Linked DNA regions of Tribolium castaneum. The protein of the gene in region 2 purifies or fractionates together with the protein of the main gene of each other region. This does not show direct contact. Links are inferred from orthologs where the notes say so. Each region holds a gene or a part of one and is shown on either strand. Other genes may lie near its edges.

Evidence for each region. Proteins that work in one complex are often made in the same cells at the same time.
Region 1: the proteins of AP-2mu (region 2) and AP-1gamma purify together in Homo sapiens (affinity purification with mass spectrometry; 3 studies listed by BioGRID and IntAct, counting the BioPlex papers as one, with this or other methods). This does not show direct contact. The link is inferred for Tribolium castaneum from reciprocal best matches to the Homo sapiens genes AP2M1 and AP1G1.
Region 3: the proteins of AP-2mu (region 2) and Reps purify together in Homo sapiens (affinity purification with mass spectrometry; 3 studies listed by BioGRID and IntAct, counting the BioPlex papers as one, with this or other methods). This does not show direct contact. The link is inferred for Tribolium castaneum from reciprocal best matches to the Homo sapiens genes AP2M1 and REPS1.
Region 4: the proteins of AP-2mu (region 2) and serine/threonine-protein phosphatase 6 regulatory ankyrin repeat subunit A purify together in Homo sapiens (affinity purification with mass spectrometry; 3 studies listed by BioGRID and IntAct, counting the BioPlex papers as one, with this or other methods). This does not show direct contact. The link is inferred for Tribolium castaneum from reciprocal best matches to the Homo sapiens genes AP2M1 and ANKRD28.

Annotation. Positions count from the first base shown.
Region 1 is NC_087395.1:15,676,440-15,680,504, reverse strand, and holds the start of AP-1gamma (AP-1 complex subunit gamma-1), read left to right. Parts: upstream 1-1,265; 5' UTR 1,266-1,352; coding exon 1,353-1,408; intron 1,409-1,426; exon of another isoform or gene 1,427-1,930; coding exon of another isoform or gene 1,931-1,950; intron 1,951-2,002; coding exon 2,003-2,064; intron 2,065-2,109; coding exon 2,110-2,440; intron 2,441-2,486; coding exon 2,487-2,725; intron 2,726-2,772; coding exon 2,773-2,849; intron 2,850-4,065. Other genes in the region: leukocyte surface antigen CD53, read right to left, coding at 1-56; Arfrp1 (ADP-ribosylation factor-related protein 1), read left to right, coding at 438-530, 575-745, 789-870, 915-1,086, 1,131-1,221. UniProt on the Homo sapiens protein: Subunit of clathrin-associated adaptor protein complex 1 that plays a role in protein sorting in the late-Golgi/trans-Golgi network (TGN) and/or endosomes.
Region 2 is NC_087395.1:22,141,200-22,145,201, reverse strand, and holds AP-2mu (AP-2 complex subunit mu), read left to right. Parts: upstream 1-1,446; 5' UTR 1,447-1,546; intron 1,547-1,641; 5' UTR 1,642-1,669; coding exon 1,670-1,846; intron 1,847-1,990; coding exon 1,991-2,153; intron 2,154-2,201; coding exon 2,202-2,420; intron 2,421-2,466; coding exon 2,467-2,977; intron 2,978-3,031; coding exon 3,032-3,278; 3' UTR 3,279-3,502; downstream 3,503-4,002. Other genes in the region: peroxisomal membrane protein PEX14, read right to left, coding at 44-125, 174-601, 647-949, 998-1,063.
Region 3 is NC_087399.1:2,782,916-2,786,889, forward strand, and holds Reps (ralBP1-associated Eps domain-containing protein 1), read left to right. Parts: upstream 1-1,174; 5' UTR 1,175-1,227; coding exon 1,228-1,377; intron 1,378-1,429; coding exon 1,430-1,844; intron 1,845-2,318; coding exon 2,319-3,574; 3' UTR 3,575-3,845; downstream 3,846-3,974. UniProt on the Homo sapiens protein: May coordinate the cellular actions of activated EGF receptors and Ral-GTPases.
Region 4 is NC_087401.1:12,715,591-12,719,678, reverse strand, and holds the start of serine/threonine-protein phosphatase 6 regulatory ankyrin repeat subunit A, read left to right. Parts: upstream 1-1,288; 5' UTR 1,289-1,436; coding exon 1,437-1,463; intron 1,464-1,509; coding exon 1,510-2,732; intron 2,733-4,088. Other genes in the region: spindle assembly abnormal protein 6 homolog, read left to right, coding at 1-5. UniProt on the Homo sapiens protein: Regulatory subunit of protein phosphatase 6 (PP6) that may be involved in the recognition of phosphoprotein substrates. Involved in the PP6-mediated dephosphorylation of NFKBIE opposing its degradation in response to TNF-alpha.

The DNA.
Region 1 (4,065 bases), about 6.5 Mb from region 2:
AATAACAAGGCTGAGTACAGCAAACACAACAATTCTTTCACTTTGAGTGAAGCCATCACGAACAAATAACACAGAAAATTAGCAATTTAAGCTGCCACAAGCCATGGTAAGTTTCAAGCGAACAGCTACGCGAAGAATGGGACAGGAGCGGACCCACTTAAAGTGAAATTAATCGCAGCCCGAGCCCTAAATCAGCAAGACATGACAAGGGAGTGCATCGCTAAGGTCAGAAATCAGCCTCATTGCATGAAAATCGCTCCAATACATCAATTTTATTGTAATTTCTATAAATAGCCATGGGTCATCTTGCCCCTATTGTTAGGTGACCCAACATTCAAACTGCAGTTGGCGCCCCTGTCACAACAATGCAAGGTGTCAAAATGGCGACGGTTTTGTTTTGATTTGCTCATTAATGGGCTTAATTGCAACCAGAAACCATGTACACCCTTTTGCACGGCTTTTACAAATACCTGGTGCAAAAAGACGAGTATTGTGTCCTGATCCTCGGCCTCGACAACGCCGGAAAAACGGTAAATATGCCCCGAAGTGCTGCCAACCTAACGCCCAATTCTAGACTTACCTGGAGGCGGCAAAAACCAAACTTACGAAAAATTACACGGGGATTCACCCCAGCAAAATAACCACGACCGTGGGCCTAAACATTGGTAAAATCGAGATTGCCGGCATAAGACTGAACTTCTGGGACTTGGGCGGCCAGAGCGAGCTCCAGTCGCTGTGGGACAAAGTGAGTTGGGGGCTAGTTATAGACTGATTGGGGCTGGTTTTAGTATTACGCAGAGTCGCACGCGATTATTTACATCGTGGACTCGTCGGACAGGGACAGGATCGACGACTCGAAGGAAACTTTCGGTGCGTGGCAACTTAGCCCTTCTTTTGTGATTATGGCGTTTCAGATAAGATGATAGCCAATGAGAACCTGCGTGGCGTTCCGTTGCTCGTTTTGGCAAATAAGCAGGATATCCCTGAGTGCATGGGAGTGCGGGAGGTTAAGCCCATATTTAACAAGAACGCCCATTTGATAGGCAAGCGCGACTGCATGGTGATGCCCATCTCTGCCTTGACGGGGTAAAAAGCGCGTTTTTGCGACCTGAGTGCAGTTGTTTTTGCAGCGACGGCGTCGACGAGGGCATTAAGTGGCTGGTGGACTGCATCAAGCGCAACAGTTTCATACGACCGGCACGCAACCACGAAGAAAATTGATTTTTACGACACTATTCCTAATCTGTAAATCAACAAACCTAATAAATAGATAAAATAACTGTGCGGGGTCTTATCTCTAGTTATCACTCTCTTAGCAGGTGTTTACGGTACTGGTCAAGGCGTGGGGCGAAATGTACCCGTACTACGAGAGCGAGTGGAGCGTTTTACCCCCAGAGTTGAACCGAAGGTAAAAGCTTCCGTTTTTTGGAAAAATGAGCAGCTTTTGTGGGGCCGTACCGCTTGTCATTGTGGGGGCATTTCTGTTTTGTGTCGTCATGTACCGACGCAGTCACACGGGGAAAACACCAATAAATGATTAATTAAATTCCGTTTTAATGAATCAGTTAATTTGAGTCTTAAATCCTTTATTAGGGTTATTTGAGACGTCGACAGGTGTGACGTCACAAGCCGGCCATATTGCAAATGTCTACTTGTCAAAAAAGTTGCAGTGAGATGGTCTAACACCGAAAAAACCGTTCTTAAATCGCTTTTTTAATTTAGACCGAGTTTGTGTTAGCGGTGAGTGCGAAATCGGTTCGTTTTGCGCCCATTTTCCCAATTTCCCGGCATCTGTCAAAGAAAGTGAGGTGTGAAAATTACAGGTGAACATTGTAAATAACTCCCCTGAACGTGCGTTTTCCCCGAAAACGCCCCATGTTTATGTGTTGTTTGCTCCTCGATTAACGTTTTGTGTGTCGCTGTGCTAAAGATGAATGCCTCAGAGCACGGGTAAATAACAACCCCCACGTTGGCCGAACCGTGCCTAAGCCACTCGTTTCAGGTTCAATCCGGCCTTTAACATGGCCACAATCAAGCAGGCGGTCAACGAGGCCATCGAGCGAGGTAACTGCCCCAAATTGGCTGCGCCCCCCTAACGTCTCGTTTCAGTGCGAATGCCCACCCCCATGCGGCTGCGGGACCTGATCAGGCAAATCCGGGCGGCTAGGACGGCCGCCGAGGAGCGCAGCGTCGTGAACAAGGAGTGCGCCTACATCAGGTCGACGTTCCGCGAGGAGGACTCCGTGTGGCGGTGTCGCAACATCGCCAAGCTGCTCTACATCCACATGCTGGGCTACCCGGCCCATTTCGGGCAGCTGGAGTGCCTGAAGCTGATCGCGAGTTCGCGGTTTACGGATAAGCGGATTGGGTACTTGGGGGCGATGCTGCTCCTGGACGAGCGGCAGGACGTGCATTTGCTGATCACGAACTGTCTCAAAAAGTGGGTTTTTTCTGGTTTGGGAAACGGGGTAATGATTTGTTTTCAGTGACCTGAATTCCACGACTCAGTTTGTTGTGGGGTTGGCGCTGTGCACGTTAGGGGCGATTGCTTCGCCAGAAATGGCACGTGATCTTGCGGGGGAAGTGGAGCGGCTAATGAAGTCGCCTAACGCTTATATTAGGAAAAAAGCAGCTCTGTGCGCTTTCCGAATTATTAAACGTGTGCCTGAACTCATGGAGATATTTTTACCAGCCACCAGGAGTCTACTATCTGAGAAAAACCATGGTGCGCTTTTTTTTACTCAAAGTTGGGTTTTTGATTAATTTTTTCAGGTGTGCTAATCACGGGGGTTACGCTCATTACGGAAATGTGCGAGAATAGCCCAGACACCTTAAACCACTTCAAAAAAGTAAGTCATTAAATAATAAATAATAAAAATAAAAATAATAATAATAATAAAGCAAAAATTAAACAGACGAAAGTTGGTTCTCAAATGATAAAGAAGAAACGATTTATCATTGATTTTTGTTTCGATTGACATTTTTTTTATATCGGGTCACTATAAAATATTGTCGGTAAATGAGGTCAATCTTTCTCCACTGTCTGCCTTATAAGTTCTGTACATGATTAAAACTTCTCGCAATGATTGTTTATCCCAATAAACAGTGCATTTATTCAATTCAAATCATTCGTTAAATGAAATTAAAAAAATACATAATGCAAATGCGGTTGAATATGTAAAATATGTTAATCTTATCAGTTTAACCAGTTGTAAAAGGATGCGCTACATTAGTGTTAAAACATCGTTTAAATAGATAAAATAGTAACCGATCCAACTGGCGGTTTCCTCGTATTTTCGACGAAACGTAGAAGACACCAACACTGAATGTCATGTTCAACGCAATAAAGTACTCAATTTTCGGCTCTGTTTAGAATTATTTTACGAAAAAAACATACAATAATAATAACTGCTGTAACGTCCAAAACAATTCTTAATCCTCTTACCAAAATAATTTTTTCGTTTAAAATTTGCCTTTAGATCTCGATGCGAAAAAGTGGTATTAAATAAAATGATTGATTTTTTTTAAAATCTGATTTTATACAACTGATTTGGAACAACAACTGACAAGTGATTAAGTGAATAATAAAACTGAACAAATTGTGCGAAAAAGCATAAACCGTAATTAACAAAAACACAATCAGATAATTACTGCAAAGGTACAGACAGCGTATTAGGTATTAAAGGTGTTTTGAAAAAACAACACAAATTTTTCTGAAGTTTTTAAAAGTTTTAAACGTTTAAACATTTGGTTAGTCAGGTTTTTAAACTGTGTTTTTGTTAATTCAATTTAAATATTTTTTTATGGTCACATGGACAGAACACAAGTCAACGTTTGAAGAAACCAAGAAGTAACGCAATGTCTCGCTTTATTTTCATGAAATAATTGCTGTTCTTGTAGAGAAAAATATTCAAACTCAGGAAAAAAGCAAAAGTTATGCCATTATCTCATTTAGATATTTTTTCGTTTGGGTTTAGCGAAATCTCACTAAAGATGCACGCTTCACTTATTATTATTATAATAGTATTTCTTAACAAATTTAGTGATTTTTTAAAATTTATTGTT
Region 2 (4,002 bases):
TAACCAAGTGTTTCCTACTTTAAATGGCCTCGTTTTTGGAAGATTAATCTTTATCGTCGTCGTCATCATCGTCAACATCTTTGGATTTGTGTCTTCTAAAATCACTATCTTTGGATGAGAAAGATCTGCAATAAAATCAATAAAACCCGTCCGGAAAAAATCAAACCACTTGCATTATATCTAGACTAGAATCACTATTTTTTGCTGCATGTTCATGTTCCGAAGACCCTGATCCTGACCCAACTTCCATCAGTTCCTCGGCTTTTCTCTCAGGGTCTGAGTCGGGGTCGGAGTCCTGACTTATGCTAGTCTTCTGCCACGCAGGTATCGACGGACGGACTACTGAGCTTTTGGAAACCGGCGGAAATTGATTCCGGCTCAGGAGCAGGCCTTTGACTGTCGCAATTTCAGATTTCAAGTCTGATAATTGCCGCTGCGTGCTGCTCTCAGCCCCTTGACTAATTTTATCTACTTCTACTTTGACACTAAGTAAATTGTTTTTTAAGTCATTCACAGATTGCTTAAAACTCTTGTCTAATTCATCTATCGACTCCTCTACACTTTTCTTCTTTTTCCCGAAGAAAAACGGCGCTATAAATTTCTGCAAAAAATGGTATAGCGGCTTTTAACCACGGGAAACACGCACCATGTAAAATTTGTACACGACGTACGCTACGAAACTAAAAATGGCCACATTATGTACAACTTCTTTAACCTTATCAAATAAACTAATTTGGACCGTTGCACTGTTTGGGTACGGAATTAGGGAACTTGGGGGCAGAGGCGGCGTCCGATTTCTTTGTTCGTGGTATTTGTAAGCCCCCGATTTCTCGCACGCCTGTCTGATCTCCTCATCGGTTAAACCCTTCCGTTTCAAAAACCTTTGTTGTTCTCCTAGCGATGTTTTGAGCACGTTGGGGTTCTCCAGGAATTTTATAGCCGTGTTCACCTACAGTTAGCAATCGATAAATGGGGCAATTTAACCTAAACAACTTACCAAATCTTCCCGAACTGGGGGAGTCTCAGGGCGATTTTCCTCAAGTGAGGACAGTTGATCAGACATGGTTTTACACTAACCTAATTACTTAAAATTGATACATGGAAGTGATAACGCGAGTTCGGAAGACACCACACTTGTTTTTCTGCAAACTTTTAATTTTCAATCTCAAATTCCAAGGTTAAACAAAAACAAATGTCATTGGGACGCTGTCAAATCAAATTCCTGGAGACAAAGCGAAAGTCACTATTTAAATTTAGTCAAAAGACGACTTTTTTTCAAAAAAAAATTGCGATTTTATTGTAGAAACCTTTAAGCATTAGTCAATAATATTAGATAATTGCGATAATAATAATTTTTGTGTTTTTGCTAACATGGAAGCGTTATCGAGCGCATTATGAAACCAAACACTCTTTGGATTATCGCAGTGACAAGTTGTCAGTGGGTGTATGATGGCCAAGTAAAATAAAAACCGTTCGGCTTTAACTAATAATTCCGTTAAATCACAAAAGTGTGTGCGTAAAAAGCCTCTAATGACTTCACAATTCGGTAAATAACCAGTTTTCCCTCAAACTGTCCAATTTTTGGCCGATTTCAGTCGGCGTGAATAAAACTGCATTTGTAGTGATTACACCTGGTTTTAGGTCATTAGGCGAGAGCTGAGCCGGCAGAATGATCGGGGGGTTGTTCGTGTACAACCACAAGGGCGAAGTCCTCATTTCCCGAGTTTACAGGGATGATATCGGCAGAAATGCGGTCGATGCGTTTCGGGTTAATGTTATACATGCCCGACAACAAGTCCGCTCTCCGGTCACAAACATAGCACGAACGTCCTTTTTCCACATTAAGGTACATTTTGGTTTTGAAAATTGGACAAAAACTGGTGCGATTTCAACTTTTTCACAACCTTTTTGTTGCTTGTTTTGCGAATTTTGCACAAAATTGTATCAAATGAGTCTAGTCTCGGTCGAAATTGTGTTTTTTGATTTCCAGAGGGCTAATATTTGGATTGCCGCCGTAACAAAGCAAAATGTCAACGCCGCCATGGTTTTTGAGTTCTTGTTGAAGATTATCGAAGTCATGCAGTCGTATTTTGGGAAAATCTCTGAAGAGAATATTAAAAATAATTTCGTTCTTATTTATGAATTACTAGACGGTAAAATCGTTCAGTTGCATTGATTTGGTCATTACATGAAAATTGTAGAAATCCTGGACTTTGGTTACCCTCAAAACACCGATACCGGCGTTTTGAAAACGTTCATAACCCAACAAGGGATCAAATCGGCCACTAAGGAAGAACAAGCTCAGATTACGTCACAGGTTACTGGTCAGATTGGTTGGAGGCGTGAGGGTATCAAGTATCGTCGAAACGAGTTGTTTTTGGATGTTTTGGAATATGTTAACCTACTTATGTCGCCTCAAGGTTTTATAATTTTTTTTCCTGAATTTGTTTTCATAAAAAACTTTAGGCCAGGTTCTTTCGGCCCACGTGGCCGGTAAAGTCGTGATGAAGTCGTATTTGTCGGGAATGCCCGAATGCAAGTTCGGGATTAACGACAAGATTGTGATGGAAGCCAAAGGCAAAGGGGGCTTAGGGTCGACGTCTGATTCCGATCAGACCCGGTCTGGCAAACCAGTCGTTGTAATTGACGATTGCCAGTTCCACCAATGCGTGAAATTAAGTAAATTCGAAACCGAACATTCCATTAGCTTTATTCCACCTGACGGTGAATTCGAATTGATGAGATATCGTACAACTAAAGACATATCGTTGCCATTTCGGGTAATTCCCCTCGTGCGTGAAGTCGGTCGCACCAAAATGGAGGTCAAGGTGGTGCTGAAAAGCAACTTCAAGCCGTCGCTTCTTGGGCAAAAAATCGAAGTTAAAATTCCAACTCCGTTGAACACTTCGGGAGTTCAATTGATTTGTTTGAAAGGAAAGGCGAAATACAAAGCATCGGAAAATGCGATTGTTTGGAAGTAAGTTAGTGACAATCGATTGATTCACTTATTTGTATTCTGTTTTTCCCCAAGGATCAAACGTATGGCTGGAATGAAGGAGACGCAATTATCGGCCGAAATCGAGCTTCTGGAGACCGACACGAAGAAGAAGTGGACAAGACCGCCGATTTCTATGAATTTCGAAGTACCGTTCGCACCGTCCGGTTTTAAAGTACGATACTTGAAGGTTTTCGAGCCGAAATTGAATTACTCGGATCATGATGTTATTAAATGGGTGCGGTATATCGGAAGGAGCGGACTTTACGAAACTCGATGCTAAATTTTGAGGAACAACATTTTATTTCAATTATGTTTATTTTGTGTTATCTAATTTAGTAGTTAGTTGCTTTTTTTATCGATGGTTTACATCATGTCGGATCGAATATTATTTCTTGCTCTCAAATACTCAAGGCAAGCTTGATGTTGGAATAGAAGTGTTATGCAAAAGTATGCTCTCAATAATTTTATGTGAAACAATTTCACTGTGTTATCTGTAGATGAGGTATAACCATGTATATTTGTGAAGTGTAATGTTACATAAGCTTGGAAATAAATTGTAGCGAATAAGTTGGTGTCTCATTTGTCGCAAAACCAAAAAAAATCGGATTAGAACATACCTTGTGTTTACATTCGACGAAGTTGATTTTTTTTGTTTCATTATTTATTCTTATTAGAAGATGAGGTAAGTAGGTAAAAACGAATCACGAATACTTGACTGAGAAAAAACAATCACTGATAATCAGGACTCTTGGGCTCCCAATTAATTATTATGCAGTTTGGAAATTAAGTAAAGAATAAATTCATTAACTCCAGCATTTGCGCTAGAAATAAAAAGCGTGTGGTAGCGTTAACTGTCACGCATACGAGGAACGAATACTTATTTTGTTTGAGTTATACTCAAACTCAAAGTTAAAAAATGGAAAGCATGCGGTGACCGGAACTTCTGGCAGTCCCTCTTTCAACCGTCTTTCTAGAATCACCAGGTTGGTTCCAAGTACCTAATC
Region 3 (3,974 bases), on a different chromosome or scaffold from region 2:
CGGATATAAATACTATTTCGGGAAAAATTAGTAAATATTGTAAAAATACACGACTAGAAAAAAGAAAAAAATTTGGCCGCCCGAGCAGGGACTTGAACCCTGGACCCTTGGATTAAAAGTCCAATGCTCTACCGACTGAGCTACCCGGGCTTGTACTTAACAAGCCCCCTCAGTCCTAGTCCTCCAAAATCTTTCCGCAACAACCACAAGTTATTAAAATTTTGAATTCAACAATAATTACCGAAAAGTGTTGAGTTTTTCCATAGCTTTACCCACCACCGTCTTCTTCAGCGGCGTCGGACTCGTCCCCGGCGTGCTATTAGCCGAATTGAGTTTTTCATCGGCCACAAGGGCCCTAGCCAGTTGCATGTCGCTCTCGTTCATATTTCTTACCGACACGACAAAATCACAAAACCAATTACCACTTACAGCACACCTAACATTTGTTAAGATCAAGGTAAATGAAAAATCATAATCGCAAGTACGGCCCTGACCTAAATGATAAATAAGCGCGCTTTTGTCTCGGTTAGGGTCAGGTTTCCTCTTAGGGTCACTTATTTTTGTTGTTCTGAAACCGTCCGCGAAGAACTTTCGACAAGAACTGACAGAACTTGCCTTTAACGAGTCGACTCTGGCATTTTTTCTTTTAAATTAAATCGACGACGGCAAATAAATTAATATAAAAATCTAGTCCATGCACCGCTCCGAGCGGTCGGGTTATGAAATTGACGGTGAAAAACGACTATTATTATCTCAGCGAGGTGTTTTCCTGCTGTAGGCCCGCGGGGACTGCAAAAAAAATATGCGCCCAAACAATTTTATTATAATGCAATTAAATTAAAAGAAAAATTGTGACAAAAAAACATAACACAGATGAATAAGAATTTCCACATAAGACCAAACATTATTATAAATAGTTTAGATTTTTGAACATTTGTTTTTGAAAATTCATAAATGTTAGGTCACTTTGGTCGCTAGTGTCGCTACTTTCTGGCACAGTTGGTACCGAGAACACAGGCAAAAATTTCCGAAATTGGAGCCATTTATTTAAGCAGTACATTTTTTACATAAATTTGTTATACACTGATGGTTGTAATCTGGTCTATTGTGTCTCTTATCTCTTCCTCATTATCTAAATACTTTTTTGGTGAATTATTTATGTTGGAGACATTCCCGAGTGATAAGGCGAAGGTTGGTCTACCTGCCTGGCTCCATCAGCTGTCAAAAATGGAGGAGTTACAGCTGTCAGAAACTTTACAACGATATTTTTCCGACGTTTTTCTTTGTTGTGACGAGGAAAAATCCGGGAGCGCCTCCTTGACCAAAACCGTCGAATTAATCAAGTCGGGCAACGTGCCCGAAGACATCATATCCCAAGTGAGTGGTTTTCTCACTCTCTAACCTCACATTCTGACATTTCTCCTGTCAGATTTCAGAGATCTGTTGGGGCCAAACCACGACCAGTTTGTCTAGGAAGCAATTTTTTTCCGCTTTGAAATTAGTCGCCGCCTATCAGGCCAACATGCCGTTAAATGCCGACGTAGTCACTTCCAATTTGGAGTTGCCTTTGCCCAGGTTTACTTGGAATAATTTGGAGAGTGATTCACAAGTTCCTGATTTAATCGAACTGAGAAACGATGCCAATTATGTTGAACAAGTCGATGCGAACAGCACCGACTCGGAAGTCGATAGTGATACGCTTAGTATAGTTAGGAATGGGTCGCCCGAAATTTCCAGCACCGCCTCTGATAGCCCCACGCCCACGAATAGTGTGCAGGACAGGAGCTGGGCCATCGGGGGGGCCTGGCAGGGGCTGGTCTCCGAAGAACAAAGACAGCTCTTGGGTGAGTCGTGGAATGAAATAATGAAGCATTGTTTCGTTAAAACAATAAATCAACGGATTTTTGTTTAGTAAACAGGCAGGTGTCGCCGAATTGACTAGCTATTGAGTTATTAATGCGTCGTGTGACGGCATTTGCATTCATCAATTCATTTTGAAATTGTTGACATTACGTTCACTTTTCCAAAAATGGTGGCTCTTAATAAATTTTGTTTAATTAATGTAGTGACGCTTGCGACATATTTCAACGCGTGGTACACATTATTTTTGGTCAATAAACAAACAATTCGGAAACATAATTAAAGAATTAACGACTCGGAAAGTCGTAAATTTGATTGCTTTTGAGTATGTTCTACATCCAGTGATACAAGTTGTTGTTTTATCAATTTTCATTTAATTCATTACGCAGATAATTGTGAGTTTTTTTCTACAAAGGTCTTACACTATTAGCAATATTTTTTTTATTTCCCTTGTTTAGGGACGGAGGAGGAGTCGAGCGATCGGCACAGCAGCGAGGAGGACACGGAAGTGAGCCCCGAGATCTGGACGATCAACCCCGAACAGCGCGACTACTACACGAAACAATTCCGCTCCCTCCAGCCCGACACCAACGCCTTACTCGCCGGTCCCGTCGCCCGCATGTTTTTCGAAAAATCGCGCCTTCCAGTCCACGAGCTCCGCAAAATCTGGCAGCTGGCCGACGTGACCAAAGACGGCGCCCTCAGCCTCCAGGAGTTCAACACTGCGATGCATCTAGTCGTCTTGCGCCGCAACCACATCGAACTCCCCGACGTCCTGCCGCCCACCCTCATCCCCGGCAACGAAACGCCCCTGTCCGTGAGCCCCGAGACCGAGCCCATGCTCTCCCCCCAAACGAAAGACACCGCCAAAGAGTGGACGAAATTCGTCGACAGCCCCACCAGCTCCGTTAGTTCCCCCGGCCCCAAACCCGTCAACTTCGATTTCCAGAAAATCACACTCGATAAAGACTCGAAAATCTTACACCCAGTCCCGCTTCGAATCACGCCAGAGTGCCCCATGGCGCCCCCGGGCGAAGACTCCGTCGACAATGCGGAAGCGCACAGTCCGAAGAAATTCACCGATAATAGCGCCATCCAGCGGCCGCAGCCGAAAAAAATCAGCATACCGGGCCCTGGGGCGATCCCTCCGCCCCCCACCACGCAAACGGGGGATGAAGGGCCGGTCAGTCTCCCGGTTTTTCCCCCGCCTAAGAAGGAAAAACCGCCCCCGCCTCCGCCCAGACCGTTCAAAAGCCACGGTCGGAGCTCGTCGCTTGATTTGAACCGGTTGAGCAAGTTGGGAGCCCCGCCCACGATCCCGCCCAGAGTCAGTCCCAATATCCAATCGAAGAAGCTGACCAATCAGAAGTCGGAAGGGGACGCCTTTGCCAACTTTGATAGTTTCGAGAAGTATGAAAATGTGGACGAGGGGATTTTTCCGGGTGATTTGTATGAAGCGGAGAGAAAGAAGATTTTTGCGAGGTTTACTGAATTGCCAAGAAAACACGGGGCGTTTGAGGTTTATCGAAAACCGGCCAAGAATCAAGAAGGCGGGCAAGACGAGAAAGCCAAGTGGGAGTTGTTTCAAATGTTGCAGGAGGAGAATACGGTGCTGTTGAGGATTTGTCAAGAGTTGAGTCAAGAACTGGCCGATATTCGGGAAGAGAAAATGACGCTAAAGTTGAGATTAGAAAAACAATTAAGTCTGGGATAGTTGAGATGAATCAAATGCTATTTAAGTTGAATCTCCAGGTATTATTAAGGCCGACAGTGCCATAAACTGCCTAAATTGTTCAATTATGTTTATCATTGAGTGAAAGAATATTTTTTTAATGACGTTATCAAATCATATTTGAAAGAATCTATATGTTGGTCAGATTTAGGTTGTTTATATTATATATGGCTCTATTGCAGCAAAGTCTTATATTTTTTCGTGTAGCTATAGGAAGACTGTATTTTAAGATTAAATAAATACTTTAAAATTATTAGGTTTTAAGGAAAATCGCATTTTCTGCATTACACTTTATTTCCGAATGATAAAAAATAACCTAATCCCTTAATACCACGGTTTCCTTGGTCTCTGAAGCAAGTTTCTTTCTTTTGCAAAAAATACA
Region 4 (4,088 bases), on a different chromosome or scaffold from region 2:
CGTAGTACTGTATTTTGTTATTAATTTTTGATACAAATAAAAAATGTTACAAATGTGTGGTAATAAATTAAATTAATTGAAAGTACTTAGTACCTCGTTAATTATCTATTTTTGGTACTATAATAATCTCAATAAAACTAAGTCAATATGATATCCCAATAAAAAAATCAACAAGAGGACAATATCAAAAGTGCGCCTTTTTGGCGTAAAATTGTCTGAGGATTCCAAATATGTCATCATTTTTCTTCCACAATTTATAGTTTTGGAGATATTGAGTTTGCACAATTTTTTTACTGAACCGTTTTCTATTAGTAAAGTGCTCATTTTGTCGACTTTAATTTTTTCATAATTTGAAGTTAACATTAAGATTTGTTTTGTTCAGCTTCATGTTGGCCACACTGTTTTTCTTGATTTCAAAGCCATCTTTTGCCACCGCTAACTTACATTTGATTAGTTGGCCATGCTTTGATCATGCTTTTACAAAATTGAAGCAAAGGATGCAATATATGTTTATATAGCTGGATTTTCAGATACCATTACAGCGAAAATAAAACTGTATTGTGTGTTTGTAATTAGAGTTGTACACGATTATTTCGCGAGTAATTAATTGGTAAAATAAAACTTACGACGATATTGCGCGCTGACAAGTAGTACGCCACAAAATTGAAAGTTTTACGTTTTTTATTTCGCATTTTGAGCCGGTCAAGTGTTTAGGTTTAAAGTTTCGTTAATTAACAAATAAAAATATACAGGACATTTACCTGAGGATTGTTGTAACATGTTCGGCATCCTGGCGTCTTCAAATTTCCAGGAGACGGTCATATTATGGTCATATTCACTTACACTGCCACAATAGTCAATAATAATTATTCACACACAAACTAACAGCGATTATTAACGCTTTAAAAACAAACCTAAATCTCTTACACAACTTTTGAATTCAAATTTTTCTAGAATCACAAAACAGACGCGGCGCACAATCGGCGGATGATTACAATATCACGTACCAACATGACAGTGCAAGTTGCAAAAAACACTAAACAATTTGAATGTTTGTGAATGTTTTAATTATCTGAGGTATTTAAAAAGGCCCAACTGATGGAAAATCTAAACCACTAATGAATTTTGAATGAATATTGGACATTATTCTAAAAAAAAAACTAAAAAGTGGTGGTTACTTTTAATCGACCAACTTGTTACTGTTTGATGAAATTTTTGGAACAAAACCACATTAAGCAAGCAGTTTAATTTAAACAATAATTGCAGAAAAATTAATTAATTTGTTAATATTTTACCCCAGTACAGTCCCACCAACCATTTGACGTCTGACATTATTTTGACATTTAAGTTTACGTAGATAATTTTAATTTATTCCGCAATGGTTTAACCACTTCCCCCTTATTTCATGTTTCGCCTTAAGTTGCAAGTAACTAACAATGGGACTGTACCAGTTGGAGGAACAGGTAAGCGAAGTCCCCCCAAGTGAGGTTATGTTAACCATGTTGTCAGCCCCCCATCGTCAAGGCCATCTTCGCGGGCTGCGAGCCCGAGAAATACAAAGAACTGATTAAATCGAAACAGGACGTAAACTGCCTTGATAGCAAAAAGCGCACTCCTCTGCACGCGGCCGCGTTCACCGGCGACGCCGCAATCGCCTCCGTCTTGCTCTCGAACGGGGCCCGAGTCAACGCGAAAGACACCAAGTGGCTGACGCCGCTCCACCAAGCCTGCTACATCCGCTCAAGCGAGACAGTGTCCATTCTGTTGAACAATAACGCCGACGTCAACGCGCGAGACAAGCTCTGGCAGACGCCCCTGCACGTGGCGGCGGCCAACGGGGCGTACAAATGCATCGAGCAGTTGCTCAACCACGTGCCCAACCCCAACGTCACCGACAGAGGGGGGCGCACGGCCCTGCACCTCGCCGCCTACAGCGAAATGGCCGATTGCGTGGAACTCCTCATTTCGGGGGGCTGTATTGTCAACGCGTACGACAAGAAGGACTGCCGCCCCCTGCACCGGGCGGTGCAGGTGGGCAGCTTGAGCATAATCGAGCTGTTGTTAAAATACAAAGCTGAGATTAACGCTAAAGACAGGAACCAGTACACCCCCTTGCATGTGGCGGCGGCCGGGGGCACAGACGCCGTGTGCCGCCTTTTGATCAGTCACGGGGCTGACGTGAACGCGCAGAATGTCTTCGGGAACACCCCCTTGCATATTGCGTGTCTCAACGGACACCATTTGGTCTGCCAGGAGTTGATCAACTCGGGGGCTGATATCGAAGCGGTGAATTATCGGGGGCAGACGCCCCTGCATATCGCTGCGGTTAGCACGAATGGGGTTGATTGCATGATGTTGTTATTGACGCAAAAGGTTGATATTAATAGGCAGAGTCTCGATGGTAGGACTCCGCTACATATGACGGCAATACATGGGAGGTTTACGAGGAGTAAGATTTTGATTGACAAGGGGGCGACGATTGATTGTCCCGATAAGAATGATTGTACCCCCTTGCATATTGCGGCGAGGTATGGGCACGATTTGTTGACCAATACATTGTTGTCTTATGGGGCTAATCCCTCACAGAGGGGCTACGAAGGGAGGCAGCCCCTTCATATGTGCTGTTTGGCCGGTTATGTAGAGTGTTGCAGGAAGTTACTGCAAGCTGGGGTGGATTTAAACGCTGTGGATGATTCGGGGAAAACGCCAACTCATTGCGCAGCGTATAAAGGGTAAGAATAGTCGAAAAAAATAATGGATTGATTTTAACTTACGAGTAATACGAGTAATTATTAATATGTATTTCAAAAGGTAAAAATTTTAAATATAATTAACGAATACATAAAATATGAAAATTAAATAAAAAATATCGAGAAAAGAAAACTTCAAGATTTGACGAGTCTGATTAAAAAATTAAATTAAAATTATTATACTATGGAGGATGATGCTATGGAGATTCTTTATGTGAAAATGAGAAAAAAGAAAAGGAAAAAAAAACAAATAGACTGTTTCTAATCTTAAGCAACAAATGTTATTATCAAAATTATTTTTCTCTTCGAATTCTTTTAGCTTTAAATTTGTTGTTGGGATTCTGTTTAACAGAGAATTCTTTTCTTATACAGAAACTCTGAATTTGTGCTTTATATTATTCCAAAGAATACAAATACGTTATTGCCATTTTTTGTTAAGAACTGAAATATTCTTGAGAGGGGTAAAGCCTCCTGAAGATTGCGGACAAGGGTCCTTTTTCAAGAGGCGTAAAATTTTGTTTTGGAAGAAACTTTTTGTAAATTTTTGTGGCAGCTTTAGATTTATTGGGTAATTTTCTTTACAAAATGTTGTTTTTGTTATTATCTGTACGACGCACTATTTTATACAAAAACGGGTTTTTTCTTCTGATTTGCTGTTTTTCTCTTTTCTTTCGTCTATAGGTTACTTCCTACCCTCACTTATTTTTTGTTGATCTTTTTAATTTTTTCTTTATATTTCCATGTTCAATTCTCTATCAGACTTTTATCTTTCCTGTTCTTGGTTTATGTATCGCTGTAGTCGGCTCTTCCTTCTCTCATCTTTGTTAAATCCCATTTCTGTTATCCCTCCTGTCTTTTTTACTTATTTTTTTCTCTATTTACCCTCTTTCTTTCTATGTTCTCTCAGCCAAAGAAATTCAGGAATCATTTCTGGGCATAGGTCTGTAGAAACTTTTTTCTTATATCTTATGTTCTTGGTTTGCGTATTGTTGTTCTCTACCCTTTCTTCCTTCCTCTTCCTTCCCTCTTCTTTTTTAATTCCCACTTCTGTTATTCCTCCTGTCTTTTTTATTTTTTTTTCTATTTACTGTCCTCCTTTCCCGGTTCTCTCAGTCAAAGTAAATCAGAGAGCATTTTTGAACATAGGTTATAGAATCTTTTTTCTTATTTTTTTGTATTCTTGGTTTGCATATCGCTATTCTCTACTCTTCCTTCCTTCATCTTCTTTCTCAAATCCCACTGCTGTTGTCATTCCGGTCTTTTTTTATTTACTATTTTTTTATGTTTTTCTGTCTTCCCTTCCCTCTTTTCCCAGTCAAAGGAAGTCAAGGAGAATTT